2 linked regions of the Mytilus edulis genome follow. The protein of the gene in region 1 purifies or fractionates together with the protein of each later gene. This does not show direct contact. Links are inferred from orthologs where the notes say so. Each region holds a gene or a part of one and is shown on either strand. Other genes may lie near its edges.

Region 1 (9,193 bases):
AAACCTTTCAGAAATCCTTGTAATGTACATGTAGTTCATGAAAAACATGCAACGAAAATATTTATGGGACAGACGGACGAACTGACGGTTGGATGGACGGACAGACAGAGGTAAAACAGTGCACCTCCACTTTTTCGAAGCGGCAGTCTAATGATTGGGTCAACATTAAGACATTACAATACTAATATGATATAATTATCTTTATAGCACTATAAGCCTCAGTCACAATCGGAGCCAAGACAAAATAGATAAAAAACAACTAACACACTGATATCAAATAACAGTCAGTATCAAGACACTATATAATTTAAAAGAATTAACAATGTAATCATCATTTCCCCCATAATAGTAAACTTTTCTTGTGTTAACATCGAAAATTCATCATACTTATATCTACTTTTTAAAGTTCTTACATGTGCTAGAAATATGGTGAAAGAGTTCCTCCCTCAAATTATTATGAAGTGAGCATTGGATTGAAAAATGACGCTCATCCTCAACTTTATCAGCTGTACAATACAATTTTTTTAGTATCTAGCATTTTCAATTCTTAATGTAATGGAAGAGCACCGATTCTGAATTAAGATATGAACTACCTTTCTTAAAATCAATAATATCTAAACATTTCTTTCTTCTTGAAAACAATCTTCAAAAGAAAAACAAGTGTCAAGTTTCCAACAAAACACATAATGTACTAAGTTTTTAAAATTAGACAATTTGTCAAAGACAAGAGGTACAAGAATGTCACACATTATCTTAGATTTTTTACTAGTTTGTTTTTGGCTTTTATACTGTACTCATTCGATTTGAGCAGTCAAAATGCGTTGACTGTATATTTCTATGACATATACATGTACATTGAATTTCACTGACCCGATATCACTTTTCCTTATAAATATTTAGATAGAAGTTGCCGAAATATTCATGTCCGTCATATTTGTTTTTCGTAATAAGTTTTGTTGTAAATCATCATTCCTGCATCTCCACCAACCATAATAAAAGAGACATATTTTTCTAGATTTCAAAATAAGCTCAGGGTATAAAATCGGTATCCCTACAAATATATTGAGTTTCATCTCCCAGACTATGTCTGATCAATCGCTATTGGAAGTGCTGTGCACTACATTGTATCTCCGTATATCGTGGATTCACATTCCCGAACATGTTACCGTATTCATACATTTAATTGGAATTGCTCATCTTTTCTGAGCACATATTTTGTCCTGTTTGTATTCTTATTTTTACAGATCTGGTTATGTATTTGTCTCTTTGTTTTTCCCATTTTGACTGACAGACTGACTGACGCTACATTAGTCCGTTATTTCTGCTACAAAATTAATTTAAATAAAACTCAGATGCGTTATACAAGGAGAGAAAGTGTTGCAACCAAAGAGGGCGGATAGTGTTATCCAACTCCGATATATTCATTTATGTAGTTAATCAGTCAGGGGACTTACTTAAATGAGTGATTTTCTAAATCACTGATTCAAGTAACATTATTTCCATAAAGGTTGAAAGTAAGAGTTGTCTTTCTTTAATAATCACCTAATTAAGTAGTACAAAATAATCACTAGAAGAAGTGATTTAATTTTACTGTAGCTTTAAATATAGAATACTAATGATCCAGGGACTAATTATGTTTCTAAACTTATCAGAACCAACATCTGTGTTGTCTAGGATGACCAGGTCATTTCAGGTGATGACCTTGTACTGAATCTACATAATGACATAAAAATCACTTGTTTAAGTATCATACCTCAATTTCCTTCCCAAAAATCACTTTTTTAAGTATCATTGTTTTATACAACCCCCACTAATTTCAACACCCCTGAACAGTGAAATTTTTATTGGGAACAGTAGAATTTTATTACATAATCTGAAAGATAAAACCTTGAACTTTACAGGAAAAATACTCCCACTCCTGGGAAAAATCTGTTAAGAAAGTATCAGTTCATTATGTAAAGCCATTATTATAGTATTTTTTCAACTAAAATAGAATTTGCAGCTAAATGAAAGCATCAAAGGCATAAACCTTGATACTTAAAAGAAGGAAAAAATACATATTTTTTTTCAATTTTACTAATGAAAAGATATTTTTTAAACCTATGTGTTTAAAATTTTGGTAAAACTACAAAATCACAATTTGTGACAAAACTTCGAATTTGCTACTCAAACAAGTGATTTAAAAATCACTTATTTCAGTAAGTCCCCTGACTGTTAATAGTGGGGGAAACCTCACTCCCCTGATACATGAAAAGCAGAAACCGAAGATCTAGTTAAAGAAGGTAGACCAAGACGAACATGCAAAAAATAGCGAACTAGAACAGCACAGACGGTTGTGACACACAAACAACGAAATATAAATATAAATAAAGTACCTAGACATGTAAAACGAAAGTGGGACGAGGGTAAGGACTGAGCAGTTGCTATAAGCATGTGTATCAACTCCAATATACTGAGACAAATATCCCGCATGAAAAGAATAATTGTAATCAAGACGGACAACCACACATATCATAGAGAACGGAGTTGGTCTTTTTAGAGAAAATTTACCCATACACATAAGAAAAATGCATTGTCGAAATAATGGGCTTTCAGGGTAATGGGTTGTCGGAATAATAGGCTGTCGGAGTAATGGGCTGTCGGAATAGTGGGCTGTCGGAGTAAAGGGCTGTCGTAATAATGGCTGTCGGACTAATGGGATGTCACCATGTTTATATATGTATGCCTTCTTATAAGTCATTTAAGTATTCTATAACTAAACAAAAACTAAAAATTGCAAATTTTGACAGGAACAATACTTTTTTTTTTTTAAATCAAACTTTTTATGATTAGATCATGTACATTGTAGATTAGTATTTATTTTGAACAGATTGAAAAAAAATATTATTAATCAATTTAATGTTGAATAACCACAAAATCATATTGAATCATATGCATTTTTTTTAAGTGTTTCTTCCTTCTGTAGCTCTTTGCCCAAAATTTATTATATTTTTTTTTTGACAATTTGAGTATTTTAACTAGTTATTTAAGAACTACATGTATGGACTGCAAATTGTCAAAAACAAACCACAAGAGCTCCTGATCAGATCTGCAAATGAACTGAAAAGTGATTGCTATACTTATGCAGGCTATGATGCACAGGCACTTGTTTCTACCCATAGGAAGGTCCACTATCCATAATCGACCTTCCTATGGATAGAAGCAAGGAAACAAGTGCCTGTGTTATATGATGTTGCCAAAAAGATAAAAAAAAATATTTATGCAAACCTTCTAAACAAAAAACCAAATACCGCGTCAAGAAATCCAGAAATATTGCCTTCATTTTGAAGAATTCCAATCAAAAGGTTATCATATTGTTGGTTTTTATCGTCCATCGTAATTCGTCTTATTTTTATTTTTTAACGGACAACACACTAACGGGGAAAGACACCCGTGTATCAACGGTCATTGTTATTGTTCCATATACGTTCCTCCTAAAAGGAGCACTCGTAAGTAACCATGGATCACTTCAAAACCAGTGGCGGATCCAGGGGTGGGGGGGGGGGGGGGGGTTCCGGGGGTGCGCACCCCCCTTTATTTTTGCCGATCAATGCATTTGTATCGGGACATATGTTTTGCACCCCCCTTTGCCCTGGGTGCCCTGGGTTAGCACCCCCCCCCTTTCGAAAATTCCTGCATCCGCCCCTGAAAACATCGACAGTTACTTTATGTACTATGTAATGAGTGACTAGTAAAGATGGATATTTCAGTACTGAAATTATTTAAGGAATGACTGTAATACTTTTTCTGTCTATGAAGAAATAACATAAAAAATTTGGTGAATAACGCGCGTAGCGGGTTATTTAACAGTGTGCTCTACATTTTATTTTATGTTATTTCGAAAACCATGAAAAAACGTTGATGACTTCACGGTTACATGACTAAATTATGTCTATGGGCTGATAAAAAAATAACGTCAGCCAATCAGAAGACGCGTTACATCCAAAATTAAATTATTTGATATTATCAAGACAAGACAAATTATATGATAAGTTTGTTGAATATCATACATTATCTGGAACCTGGATAGGTCATGGACCTCCTTTTCGAGATATTTGCATAGGCGGATCATGCCCCCCCGCCCCCCCCCCCCCCCCCCTTGTGGGAAAAATTTGGTTGATTATATAGGGAATCACTGAAGCATGACTGGAGCCCCCCCCTCTTAGGTCAGTCAGCGGGCCCCCCTTATGAAAAGTTCTGGATCCGCCACTGATTTGAGATTTAGAATATGTCGGGAAAAGGCTGACTCAGACTTTTACCTTATATTTGCATTGGTATTATTTGGGTCTCAAACAAAAGAAAGAAAATCAAGAATCTTTTAAAATTTTGCTAAATGACCTTTCATCAGCTATTTAGTCTTATATGAAAAAATAAGTGAGTGTTATGGGGCAAAATATTTTCCATTGTATTGTAAAGAAAAAAACCCAAGGAGTCCGAACATTTGACACAAATTCCAAAACCTCACCGTATATTCTTAACGTATTCAATACAGTAAAAGAAGATCCAGTTAATTATTAGTCTTTGATTGAAATTTCTATAGAAAGATCTATGATTAATCAGAATTTCCAACTAGTCGAGTGTCACGGGAATATATTGATTTCCATGTGAATTGTCATTTTATTTACTTTAACTCTTTACGGTTTTATATGCGGGGACAACCACGTATTTATCCTGGAAGTATAGGACAGCTGATTGGCACACATGTAATCGGTCTTTAAAGATCGATGTAGCATGGGCATTCATAAATTCATTCAGTTCAAGTACAGTAAAACGGAATGGATGGATACCAACCGTTCTTAGAAAATGTTAGAATGTTGTGTCCTATCCGATGGACTGTCCTGAGGGAGTAGAACTTTTGTATTTTTATAGCCATTTTAATTGTTAGAAAGTTGGGCAAGAGATTAACTGGGAAAGTGGAATAATGAAAGATTGACAATTGAATATGTGGGTGGTTGCAAATAAAAAAAATGCCTGTGCAAGTGTTTTGCCGAATGTGTTCGTGAATGAGTGAGAGACAGTGTTAATGGGAGAGTGAGAGAGGCAGAATGTCGGTGTATGAGATAATCTGGCCTTGCAGTAGAGCTATTATGAATAGTTGCAATTGATGAATTGGGTGAGTGAATAATCAGTAGGTTAGATAAATAGAACAATGAGACATAGAATTGCAAGGGATGTGCTGAGACTACTATAATCTATAATAGTAGTCTCAGGTGTGTGGGAAGTGGGAAAAATTAAAATCACCAAAATACTGCGTTCAGAGGAAAATTCAAAACGCAAAGTCCTTTAATAATCAAATAGCAAAATCAAAAGCTCAAACCCATCAAACGATTGTCAACAATTGTCATATTCCTGACTCAGTAAAACTACCATGATAATTTGACTTCAAATATTTCAAGACCTCTACATTTCGATTTCATGGTGTTCTTCAATACAAAAATTTTGTAAATTCAGGCCTCATAACAAATGGAACGATGGTAGTGACTGTCTTTATAGAAGAGTGCTAATCCCAGTTACAGATCACTTTAGCCGTATTTGGCACAACTTTTTGGAATTTTTGATCCTCAATGCTCTTCAACTTTGTACTTGTTTGGCTTTATAAATATTTTGATATGAGCGTCACTGATGAGTCTTATGTAGACGAAACGCGCGTCTGGCGTACTAAATTATAATCCTGGTACCTTTGATAACCAATTAAATAACATAGAATTTTGTGGACACCATCAGCTGGTTGACAATTTGGTAACATGACAACTTATTGTTCCAATAGTCGAAAATACAGCTATGTCCTCTTTTATTTCGATTGTGACATTTATATATTTTGCTGACTTACTACACGAGCAACACGATGGGTTCCACATGTGGACCGGTCCTAATAATCTGATGCCGGATAATCACCCTCGGTTTTTGGTAAGGATTCGTGCTGCTCAGGCGCAAGTTTTCTTTTTAATGTTTTTCGACTTGTTTGTTTTAAATGTCCCATTTCTTCATTCCTTTTCCTGCGCTTTTAGACCTTGGATGTTCACGAGAAATTTTAGATGTAAATTGAGGAATTCAGATTTTGTGAGTTTTAGAAACTAGATACCAGTATATAGTCGTTTTGTAATTTTCCGGTTATGACATTTTGACAGTGTATACATACGTGCATGGTGGGCGATGCATGCATAGCAGGAGGTGTTTACCCTGTTCACTGACACGGTCTTGATCAGTTATATTCTTAGTATATCGGATTCCCCCTTTTTGTGTTTTACCTTAATTTGCCTCTTCTTGATCGATTTAGGATATTTAAACATCGATAAACTACCGTAACTGTTGCTTTAATTTAAAGCCCTTGAAAATATGCTTTGTTACAATTTTATATTTATAAGCATTGTAATTTTCATTGTAAATAATAAATGCTATAGCAGTATTACACACCATATCTTACATACTTTTGATTTTTTAACCCTATATGCTAACATTGCCTATGTAAATCTTAAAATTATTTGCATGCACATTGAACGAAATATTTATGTGACGTATAAAATTTTCTGACGTCAGACACTCAAATCAATGAATGTGTTTGTAGATAGCTGTTTTTGTTTTGTGGCAGTTGGGATTATTATGTTATTATTATTTCCCTTTTTTAAAACTATAAATTTCATATTTCTTTATTTAAGGATTTACATGAAGCTTATTCAGTACATATTTGTTAAATCGCATAGCTTTTGCTATTTGAATTCATTGGTTAAAGATATTTATTTGTATTGTAAAGTTTGATATTTGCATCGTTGCAAAATCTTTGGTTACCTTCTGTGAGAAATTTATATATAAATATATTTTATATAACTGGTATTTGATTATTGTGTCGAATATTCTGAGGACTGATTGTCAGTCCAACCAAGGAAAGCTAAACTTTCCAACTACCGTTAAGGTTAGTGCGTTAGCTACATACCTCCACAGCCCGGGTAATATGAAATAATTGAATGCTCCATTTCTTCATACATTTGGCTCTACATAATAAAAGTTGTACTTTGTTGATTAAATTATATATTGTTTTCACTGTTTTTGGTTTTTATTTACTCAGATATACTTTAGCGCATTACATTTGGCATCAGTCGTTTCCGTACAATTAAATTCACAAACCAGACCAAGCTGTGGTCCGCATCCCCGAATCTTCAGCAGAATTGTTCCTGCTACAGTTTTCTGTTAAATAGTTCCTTTAAAATTGTTATACGATGATGACTGATAGTGGAATTAACTATTTGTGGATTTTTATAAATTCTATACATAACTTTTGGACTATTTTCAATCTCGGTCTATTTCTGATATTTATTCTTAAAAACTTTTGTTTTTTAACCCTATATGCTAACATTGCCTATGTAAATTTTAAAATTTTGTTTGAAAATTGTTTGCATGCACATTGAACGACAAATTTATGTGACGTATAAAATTTTCTGACGTCAGACACACAAATCAATGAATGTGTTTGTAGATAGAAGTTTTTGTGTTCTGTTAAATTGTCCATTTTAAAATTGTTATACGATGATGACTGATGTACCCATATTTTAACTATTTATTTATTGTGTCTGTTTAATAGTTAGCGCATCAATGTAAATATAACGAAATTTGATGAGACTGTCATCAAAGTGAAAGGGTTAGCACTATAATCCACAATTTTCTACATTTGAAAATGCCTGTACCAAGTCAGGTATATGACAGTTCTTGTCCATTCGTTTTTTATGCGTTTTGTTATTTGAAATTGCCATGTGATTATGGACTTTCCAAATTAATTTTCCTCTAGGTTCAGTATTTTTGTGATTTTACTTTTTGAATTCTATCCTAATTCTATCCCTTTTATTTTTTAGAAATTCAAATGTGACGTCACTTTGTGCGTCGATCTCTTCGGCTAACTCGGCTGTGACTTTTTATGTGCTGGTTTAGGTTGTTTTATGTATTTGTTTTTATTCTGTAGTTAGTCACCACTTCCAGTTGATGTTATCATGTATCTCTCTTATATACATTGTCACTTTTATTAACTAACTGTTTACAAAAGTATGAATTATTTTAGATACTAAGGATGTTCTTATCCCAGGCAGAAAACCTTGACCATGTTGAGCAAAACTTTTGTACTTGTTTTGGCTTTCGAACTTTTTTGATCTGAGCGTCACTGGTTAGTCTTTTGTAGACGAGGAGCGCGTCTTGTAAAATATTAAAATATAAACCTGGTACCTTTTGTTAGCTATTATTTGTGTGTTTCTCTGTCCTATATGTTCTCCCATTTGTTTGTATTGTAGTCCTGTCATGCAATGTTGTCATTTTAATGTTACATTTAATATTGCCATAAAAGCGGGAGATTTGGCTAGCCACCAAACCAGGTTACACCCACCATTTCTTTTCTTAGAATGTCCTGTACCAAGTCAGGAAAAAAGTTTATCGACAGGTTGTAGGTATCCCCATGGGTACTAATTGTGCCCCTTTAAAAGCAGACTTGTTTTTGTACTGTTACTAATCACAGTTTATGACTAAACTCAATAAAGACCTGTCGAAATCGCATTTAATTGATAAATTCAACAACAATTACCGTTATCTTGATGATATTTTTTCGTTAAATAATCAAGAATTTTCTCAATATACTGCTGATTTTTTTATTAGTTGTTAGTGGCTTTGAACTAGCTGTCAGATAACTGCGAGTACTCTCAGATCTGTTCCTACTGTCTTTTTGTTGTCGGGATGTAAAAGTACCCGGCCACGTCTACTTGTATTTTTGTCCATCTGATGAGTTAAGCCTATTTCAACTTATTTTTATAGTTCGTTCTTATGTTGTACTGTTATACCACTGTCCCATGTTAGGGGGAGGGTTGGGATCCCGCTAACATGTTTAACCCCGCCACATTTATGTATGTGCCTGTCCCAAGTCAGGAGCCTGTAATTCAGTGGTTGTCGTTTGTTTATGTGTTACAGATTTGTTTTTCGTTCATTTTTTATATAAATAAGGCCGTTAGTTTTCTCGTTTAAATTGTTTTACATTGTCTTATCGGGGCCTGTTATAGCTCACTATGCGGTTTGGGCTTTTTTCGTTGTTGAAAACCGCACGGTGACCTATAGTTGTTAATGTCTGTGTCATTTTGGTCTCTTGTGGACAGTTGTCTCGTTGGAAATCATACCACATCTTCTT
Region 2 (8,755 bases), on another chromosome or scaffold:
AGTGGTGATCTTTGACATATATGAGGCCCATCTCCGGGTGCAGGATTTTCTACATGTATTGAGGCCAACCTCCGGGTGCAGGATTTTCTCGCTGCATTGAAGACCTATTGGTGGCCATTGGCTGTTATCTGCTCTTTGGTCAGGTTATTGTTTCTTTGAAATTCCCAATTTCCATTCTTAATTATATTGTTTTTAAACAACATCTGACTTGTACATACTAATAAATATAATATAATTAACCTTCAGCAATTAGTGTAACATCACAAAGAATTTTATCATTTTTGAGTTTGTTGAGGCCTTGTAATATCATCATTCCATGCTCAGGTCTTTCCTCCACACGACACACTTCAATAGCAGGGCTATCTTGAGCAATTTCTTCAGCCATATTGGATAATTTTAGTTTCTTTGTAGCTGAACAATCAACTTGGTTCATTTAACCCCATTCTGTAAAGAAAAAGATAACTATGCATTCATATTATCATGTACATTATGTAATTTTTAATCCAGGGACATTAGTAAAGGTTTCAAAATCCTAGCTGAAACCCTGGTTCCAGTTACATCTGAAAAAAAGTTAGGGTAGGAAGGTAGGGATTTTTTTTAATTTTATGGTTTTTTTTTACCTTGAGTCTATGGGAGCTTCATTCTGACTTTAACAGTGCTTAATGAAAAATGACAATAAAATCTTTAGGGTAGGCTAATTTCAAGACAAAAAAGTAGGGAAGGTAGGGTCACTGGAACCACACATATTTTTATTTGGCCTTAACATAGTTATCCAAGTTAGCATCAATTTTTTTTTCCTGTCAGGAGTTTGGCAGTCATTTTCCAGCTATTTTGGTAAATATGTTAGGACTTCAAAATGAGGCTCAGTTTTCTGTCAACCATCCCCTTAGTAGTATTGGCAAATCCAATAAAGAATTCACAAACTGAGGATTGATGCAAATCATTAATGACAAGAAGTTTCATACCTGTTAAAAGATGAATACTGATTTCTGAAGGGCAAAAGTTTAAAATTGAAATGGTTATAATGTCAGTTTTAAATTGCAAATTCCATAGTCATGATAGTAATACATTTAAACCATGCAATTCTGAATGTAAACAGGAGTATTTATTTGATTGTTTACTACGAAATGAATTCTGAATTATGACATGTATATATCATGTAATGGAATTTCTTCAGATTATCAAGTTACAGCAAGTTGCAGTTAATAATCAGGTATTTACTTTTTAACTACTATGTTGATTTATAATGGTCAATAATTGTTATTATTATGTTCTGTTTTAAAAAACGGGAGCTAATGGATTACTGTGTAAATCAATAAAAGCACATGTATGATTTGTTGAACCTTTTTCTTTGTAATAGAATTAAGATTTTGTATCTTAATCTATATTTTCATTAGCATTACTAAAACATTTCATGCTTTCGAAGGGTCGTCATGATCATAATGCAATAATTATCAATGGCAGGGATCATTTGGTGGAAAATAATTTACAATATTGGGGATTATACATGTTATAAGATAATGGAAATTTAATAAACAACTTTAAAAGGAGTATGTTCGATAAGGTCCTAAAATGGCCCACTTTTTTAGCGTAAATTTCAAATTCGGATTTATTGACCAATATCACGATAAATTATAGCTAATACATTGACTAGATAGGAAATAAGCCATTTTGTTTAAAATTTTACGTTTCTGCGTTTCATTATGACGTCACAAGTTGTACTCATACTGATTTTTCACGAAAAAATCAATGAAAATGGGTAAAATTCCAAAGATTATTTGACAGGAAACATAGAGCACATACGTCGACAACAAAGATCTTTTAAGGAGGCTCGAGGGTATAAAAATTTCAGAAAAAAAATAAACATTTGTTTTTCATTTCAAATTTTTATTTGTTACCTTTTGTAGTTGTTACTTATCATATGGTACAAAAATCATTCAAAACAAACAATTTTTGTTGGCCCCAGATGACTTTTAAAATGTATACATCATTGAAAAAGTTCCAAATTATCTCCCTTTGGTGGAAAAATGCCATTTTTTGGCTTTAAAATTGAAATGTCTTTTTTAACTCATCGGTGACCTATATTTTTTAATATAATTTCCATATAAGCTGTACTTAAACTAAATTATTGTAAAATTTGAGCGATTTCTGTAATAAATTTCTTTCTTTTTTTTTCGATATTACCTTTATTTCTCCTATTACTTCAACAGAAAAAAAACACCTTTACAAAAATGTATGCTTCTTTCGAAGGCAGATTGTGAGCGCAAATGAACGGTGACCCCACTTTTTTATTTTATTTTTCTGTTAACTCTAAGATAAAGTTCATTTATAGAAAAATATAGAGAAATCCTATATAAATGATTTAGACCCGCGAACCCCCTTAAAATAATGTTTGTGAAGACATTTAACATGTCTTATTTGAATATTAAGCTTGTCGACGCCTGTGCTCTATGTTTCCTGGTCCTTTATTTGGTTGAAATCCCGCTGATTTTGTCAAATTTCACCAAAATCCCTTATCTTGACCGTTTTGGAATGTAAAAATCGTTGTGTTAGAATTAAACTTTGACAAAAACAGCTCTGTTTAACTTTTTCACATGTCTTTAAGGCAACTTAAAACAATTTTTGTCTTGTAACCATGAACTTTATAATTGGGGCCAAATATGGCACTTACCAAACTTACTCCTTTACACAAAAGCCAAACTACAAACAGTGCCACATTACATCGACAGAACAGGCAGATTTAATACTGCTGTTCATCAATTCCAATCTTAACCAGCGCATACCAATTTAAAGCACAAAGAAGAAAATACGTTGAGGAAAACGCACCAGAGAGGAAAACTGCACATTGGGACAATTCGTGCCAACAGGCCTCAAGATTGAGGATTGAGGATATACAACTACAAGCTCAAGTGAGTCTATAAAATCAACAACTGAAGGTTTAAACTTCCCAAGTTAACAATGTTCAGACTTTTAATGGCAATATCTAACTTATTTGTAGCTCAAATAACTAGAACTTCAGGATGACACATCTGAACAGACAAAAAATAACTTAAGTCTATAAATTCCCAATACAAAGTTGGCAAAGCAGAAGTAAGATATAGTATACAGGATGGATATATGATGAAAATAACCCAGGGGAAATCTAAAATCACTTTATGAAGTCACTTTGCAGAGAAGTTGCATCCAATAAATTATTAACGTTAAGGAGACTGAAAAATGGCTTTGACCGCATTTATCAGCTCTTGAAACGTCTCATATAGCATAAAATGCTTGTGACTGCTTACATTAACATCCTACACATGTATCTTAAGCTTTGTAAACACTGTCATCTTTATTTTCAGCCCATGACGGATGACCATGACCGACAGCACTATCGGAAATGACATCATGCAAATTTTGCATGTGTACTGAACCCGGTGTCCGGGAAAAATGTAAACATCAACGTTGCGTTCTATAAAAATTGTGAAGTGATAGATATGGCACATCTGAACCCATTTTATAGATAATCAATCATAGATTATCTCAGATAAAGTATGATTTTCTCAGATAAACTATGATTTTCTCAGTATTTTACATTAAGCTCCGATAAACCCGGGATTATCTCGATTTTTTTTCAGATTATCCGGATTTTTCTCAGAATTTTCAGATAAACCGGGATTTTCTCAGCTATATGCATATTTGATATAATTCATTATATTTCTCAAAATTAATATACGACAAGTATATCAAAAATAATGACGCTCAGACGGATTGAAACGAGGGAAAATGAAGTTGTAGTATAACATTTCATAGGAAGTACAGCAGCCGGTATTAGACGGAATAATATTGAACGATGTCTTTATCAATAGATAAGTTACATTACCTTTTATACGGCGTATATGTATGATTATAGTCTTACTCGTTTGTTTACTTTAGAAGTAGAGCTGTTTGATCGTATAACAATATGTTTGTTCCTTTTCTCAGAAACAACCTCACTGAATGAGTTCATATTTGCTCATTAGCTTGACAACAGCGACGAGTTTTAACGTGTGTATATATACACTTTCTGGTCTGTCTGTCTAAGATAAGTGAACATTTGCCGATACCTTAATTTTGAACTCTCAATATGTTGAAGTACAATAGGGATATGTTTATACAAATAAGAAGACGTGGTATGATTACCAATGACGCAAAAAATACAACCAATTAAACAAACTAACCTGTGACAATTCTGCATCTATTGGTACCAATTTGCTTAAAATCAAACCAAAAAATGATACCAATATATTTTTTTGAAATCTTGTAAACGGACTTTTGTTGACAGATTTTCTACATACATATAGTATCATATATTTTTAAAATATCAATTAAACTCGGCAATTTTTTTATGTACCAATTTCAAGTCCAGAACAGGATGAGACGCTCTCTTTATTTATTATTTTATTTACGAATAGGGGTGTTATACGACCTTGTCCACCCATGAGGGTCTCGCACATGCAGTCGGTTTTCTTATTTTATTGATATTCTGTTAAATTTGGCCGTACAATGACAATTCTCTATATAATTTGCTATACTGGCATGAAAAATAAAAAATATTTTGATTCTGATTTTTTTCCTTTCAAGATAGTATTATAGACTTCATTATCAATGAATGAAAATAACTGTTCTCGTCATGAAAAATATTGCACAAATTTGTTGAGGATAGTTGTTTTGTCTGTAACTCTTGGAGTTCCATTTATAATGTCTTTCGGTTTGAACTTACTGCACACCACGGTAGTAATTACTTTTATGCATATATTTCAAATCTTCCAAAACCAGACCCGATTCAACCACCATATGCGCCATAGATTTTGTTAAAATTTCTAATTAATCACGGGTGCATATACGTTTTCTCATTTCTTTTAGTTTCATTAAAATAACATGTTGATGTCATAAATGTGCAATTAAATATTTGCCGCTGGACGTTAAGCAGCTACATGTATTAATACTCATAATTAGCTATTGCAGCTTTTGTGTTGATGTAAAAATAGCAGGTCCTTTTGTTCCGTAATGTGTCTTATTTGTTAAATTGTTATTCAGCATATTACACTTAAAGCAACGAATAGTAAGATAGCTCCCACGTCCTTGTAATTTTTCTTTCTCTACGTTGAGCAGATTCAGCTCGGCCGTGCAGTTTTGACAATTTTTCAGCGCTTTTGCCAGACTTTAAAGCTTCACAATTCTTCTTCCGTCTTTCCATGCTTTACTGTCAGTACTCTCTTCTGTGTCTATTACCATTTTCTTCAATTTTGTCAAAGTTGTATTTAATCTATTTTTTTTCATCTCCAGTTTTTTCCTTTGATCTCCCGGCTCTTCGGCGGATTTCTCCGTCTTTTAGAAACGGCATGGCCGCTTTTTGGGCCGGTAATTTTTTTTTAATTTGCACAACCGGAGTTATTAAAGCGTCGTCGCGAAATGTTTACTTGCAAAACATACAATTAATCAAAGGTGCCGAAATAAGTAACTTCTGTGCTTAATTAACTAATTCCCGATTTGACTAAACTGGGTGCCGATTTGATCTGGTGCCGAAATGCCGACTAGAATTCCTCGTCAAATCAACACCAAATATGGTCAATTCAGCATCTAGTCTAATTAGGACCCGGTTAATTCGGCACGCAAGGTAGTGATTTCGGCAGCTAAAATTAACATTACGTTTTGCAAGTAAATTAATTTTTTTTTTATATAATAAATCAACAAGTTATGTGTCATGCATAACAGAAGTTCCAATGGAAATTTGTAATTTAGTAGTAATAAAACATCAAAAACTACCTCAAAATAGTTAAAACAACAATTTGGTTAATCTTTTTTTTGCTTGATATAAATTTGGAAGTTTTTAAAATCAATTATTAATAAGACCATACTTTGGCATATAGCCGTTTACTTTTACAAATTGTAACTTGGATGGAGAGTTGTCTCATTGGCACTTATACCGCATCTTGTTATACCTAAGGACGAATTATCATGAATAAGATCATTGAGTAAATTTTAAACAGCAAACAAACTCTATTTTTTTTCAAAAATCTTTATTTATTTATGAACAAAATGGCTATTATACTCAAATTAAATGGAAAGAAAAATTGACTAACCACGTTTGACTTTTCTATTGGTAACGAATTGACCTGGAGCCGATTTGTCCTGTACCCGACAAGAACACCTCATCTACCTTTACCAGCAGAACTCGGCCCAAGTTCTTGTGTTAATTGGGCTCGTGTTGCTCATTTGTTACGTTTGCTGTTATCTGTTGTTTGTTGAATTCAATAATGACTACCTGGCACAATATGACAGGCGTACTAGAAGACAACACAAGTTTCGGCCTACATAAAGACTATTTTGAGTCATCTTTCCCCCAAGCACTATTGCTGTTTGGAATGATCTCCGGGAGGCAATTTGTATGTCACTCTCCCTGAGAATCATGGTATCTTCAATCTAATATTTTGAGGATCCTGTCTGGCTAATTAACTATTGTATTTAAGCCACTGTACATAATGTGAATATGTTTAACATAAAGCTACAACAAATGTTAATTTAATTGTAATTGAACTGTGGCAAATCATTTAATTTTAATTTTATCACAATTTTCGACCTCCATTTTCATGTAGATAGCGCCACAGTTCCAAAATATTCCACACTCCGGCACCGGAGTCTTTCTCGTCCTAGGAAGAAGCTTTCGACTTAACATGTAGTGAACAAATAGTGAACTGTGATGACTATATAGTATATATATATATGCAAGATACAAAATAATTTACAAGTATGTATAAAAACTTCAATTGTTAGGCAGCAACCATTTGATTTTCGGGGTGGGGGGGGGGGGGGGGCTATGGGTTTTTTTTTCTGGACATTTTTTTTTTTCACGACAAGTCGAAAACCATTTTTTTCTTTCAATTTTAGCATAACATATAGTGGCAGCTGAGGGTGAAACAAACAATTTTTTTCTTCTCAGAATCAAAAACAAATTATTTTTTTCTCAAAAAACTGGAAACAAACTTTTTTTCCAAAAAAAAAACATAGCCCCCCCCCCCCCCCCCCCCCCGAAAATCAAATGGTTGCTGCCTTATATAGGCGTACATTTTATCTGTTGTAGTATTTTCTCATTATACTCACTTATTTGAATTGTAGTTTTTTATATTTACTTTTGCTGGAAATGCTATTGAAAACGGTTCTCAAATTTAAATGTTTACAAATTTACCAGTACACCTCCGACATTCCAATCAAACAATCAGACTATTATTCTTGGATGTTCATACTGGTTGTTTGAACTCTTTAAATACCGAAAGAATTGATTTTGTGAACTTATGGCTGGCTACCTAATTATTCATAAAAATATGTTCGCGTTAAATGTTTTTTAATGTGTATGAATCTAATGCGCCCAAGAAGGATTTTTAGAACGCACCCTATATTTGCCGCTTAGAACATAGTTCACATATTTTAACGGTATACATTTGTGTTTAATTGATACTTGACAGTGTTTTTAATTTGATTTTTGTATTTATTCTGATCTTTTATTTATACCAGTCTAATGTCAAATGGAAAACGCAGATGTTTTTGTCTGAGTACACAAGGGACTTGAAAACGCCAAAGGGAGATAATTCCAAAAATCATGGCCGAAGAAAACGTTGGTGATTTGTCGAAGACCGCTAATGGTGAACTTGGTACACAGTTTGAAACTTGTGGTGACGAAAAACAACCAGAAAAGAACACTGTCCCTGTCGAAATGGCGGAAACACATACATTCAAAGTCCCAGGCATAGTAACATATAAACAAAATGAAATAGCTACTAGCACATTAGAACCCAATAATGGCACTACAGAAGCCATAGATAAAACTGACGACAAAGGAACTATCCCAAACAAACTGAGCCTATTATCCCCAGCGGAACAACTGAAAGAGACATCAACACCTATTCCGTACAAGGAGCCATCTTGGGGAGGAATTAGTAATGACAAATATAGTCTTGAAGTTTTGAAAAATGGGGTCATTATTGACAAAATAGATTTAGTCAAATCGTTTTATGTGTTTGGAAGACTGCAAAGTTGTGATGTTACAATGGAACATCCGTCATTGTCAAGACATCATGCTGTTCTTCAATTTTCTAAAATAAAATCTGAAAAGCAGAACATTGGCTGGTATCTTTATGATCTTGACAGTACTCATGGAACATGGATAAATAAAAATAGAGTGTATGCTAACAGATACTATCGTGTACATGTTGGTCATGTACTGAAATTTGGAGGCAGTTCAAGGCTTTATATTTTACAGGTAATATACATAACTTGATTTCCTACAGGGTCATCATTGTTATACAGGGATCTCCATGGATGAAAATTGAACAATGGAGGAACTTTCACCATTACAAACAGTGTAGGAATTCTAAATTATCGTTACAGCAGTTCTCGAGTTATTTGCGATGAAATAATATTTAGTTTTGCGTCTTATTTTGTACTTCTCAAAAAAGGGGGATGCTGATTGCGTAAGTCAAAATAAAGCACATGTTCGACTTGTTAAACTGTTTTCTTTGTAACTGGATTATTAATTTATTTATTTAATCTAAATTATCATAATCATTTGCTGAAACTTAGTTGATTAATTCGACAAATGGATCGTCTATCATCAGATAGTATTCTCCTGTCTGGTTTGTTGATCTACCTGTACAAGCTCAGGTACAAGTGATTAGCGATCTTAATCCGAATATCCCTCAGGCGTTAGAACTGTATTGGATTATAACATGAAAAGCCT

What was found.
Region 2: the proteins of nudC domain-containing protein 3-like (region 1) and kelch-like protein 9 purify together in Homo sapiens (co-immunoprecipitation; 3 studies listed by BioGRID and IntAct, with this or other methods). This does not show direct contact. The link is inferred for Mytilus edulis from reciprocal best matches to the Homo sapiens genes NUDCD3 and KLHL9.

Annotation. Positions count from the first base shown.
Region 1 is NC_092352.1:85,867,758-85,876,950, forward strand, and holds the start of nudC domain-containing protein 3-like, read right to left. Parts: upstream 3,468-9,193; 5' UTR 3,375-3,467; coding exon 3,268-3,374; intron 1-3,267.
Region 2 is NC_092346.1:2,233,222-2,241,976, reverse strand, and holds the start of kelch-like protein 9, read right to left. Parts: upstream 3,417-8,755; 5' UTR 3,285-3,416; intron 445-3,284; 5' UTR 434-444; coding exon 241-433; intron 1-240. Other genes in the region: kanadaptin-like, read left to right, coding at 7,619-8,278.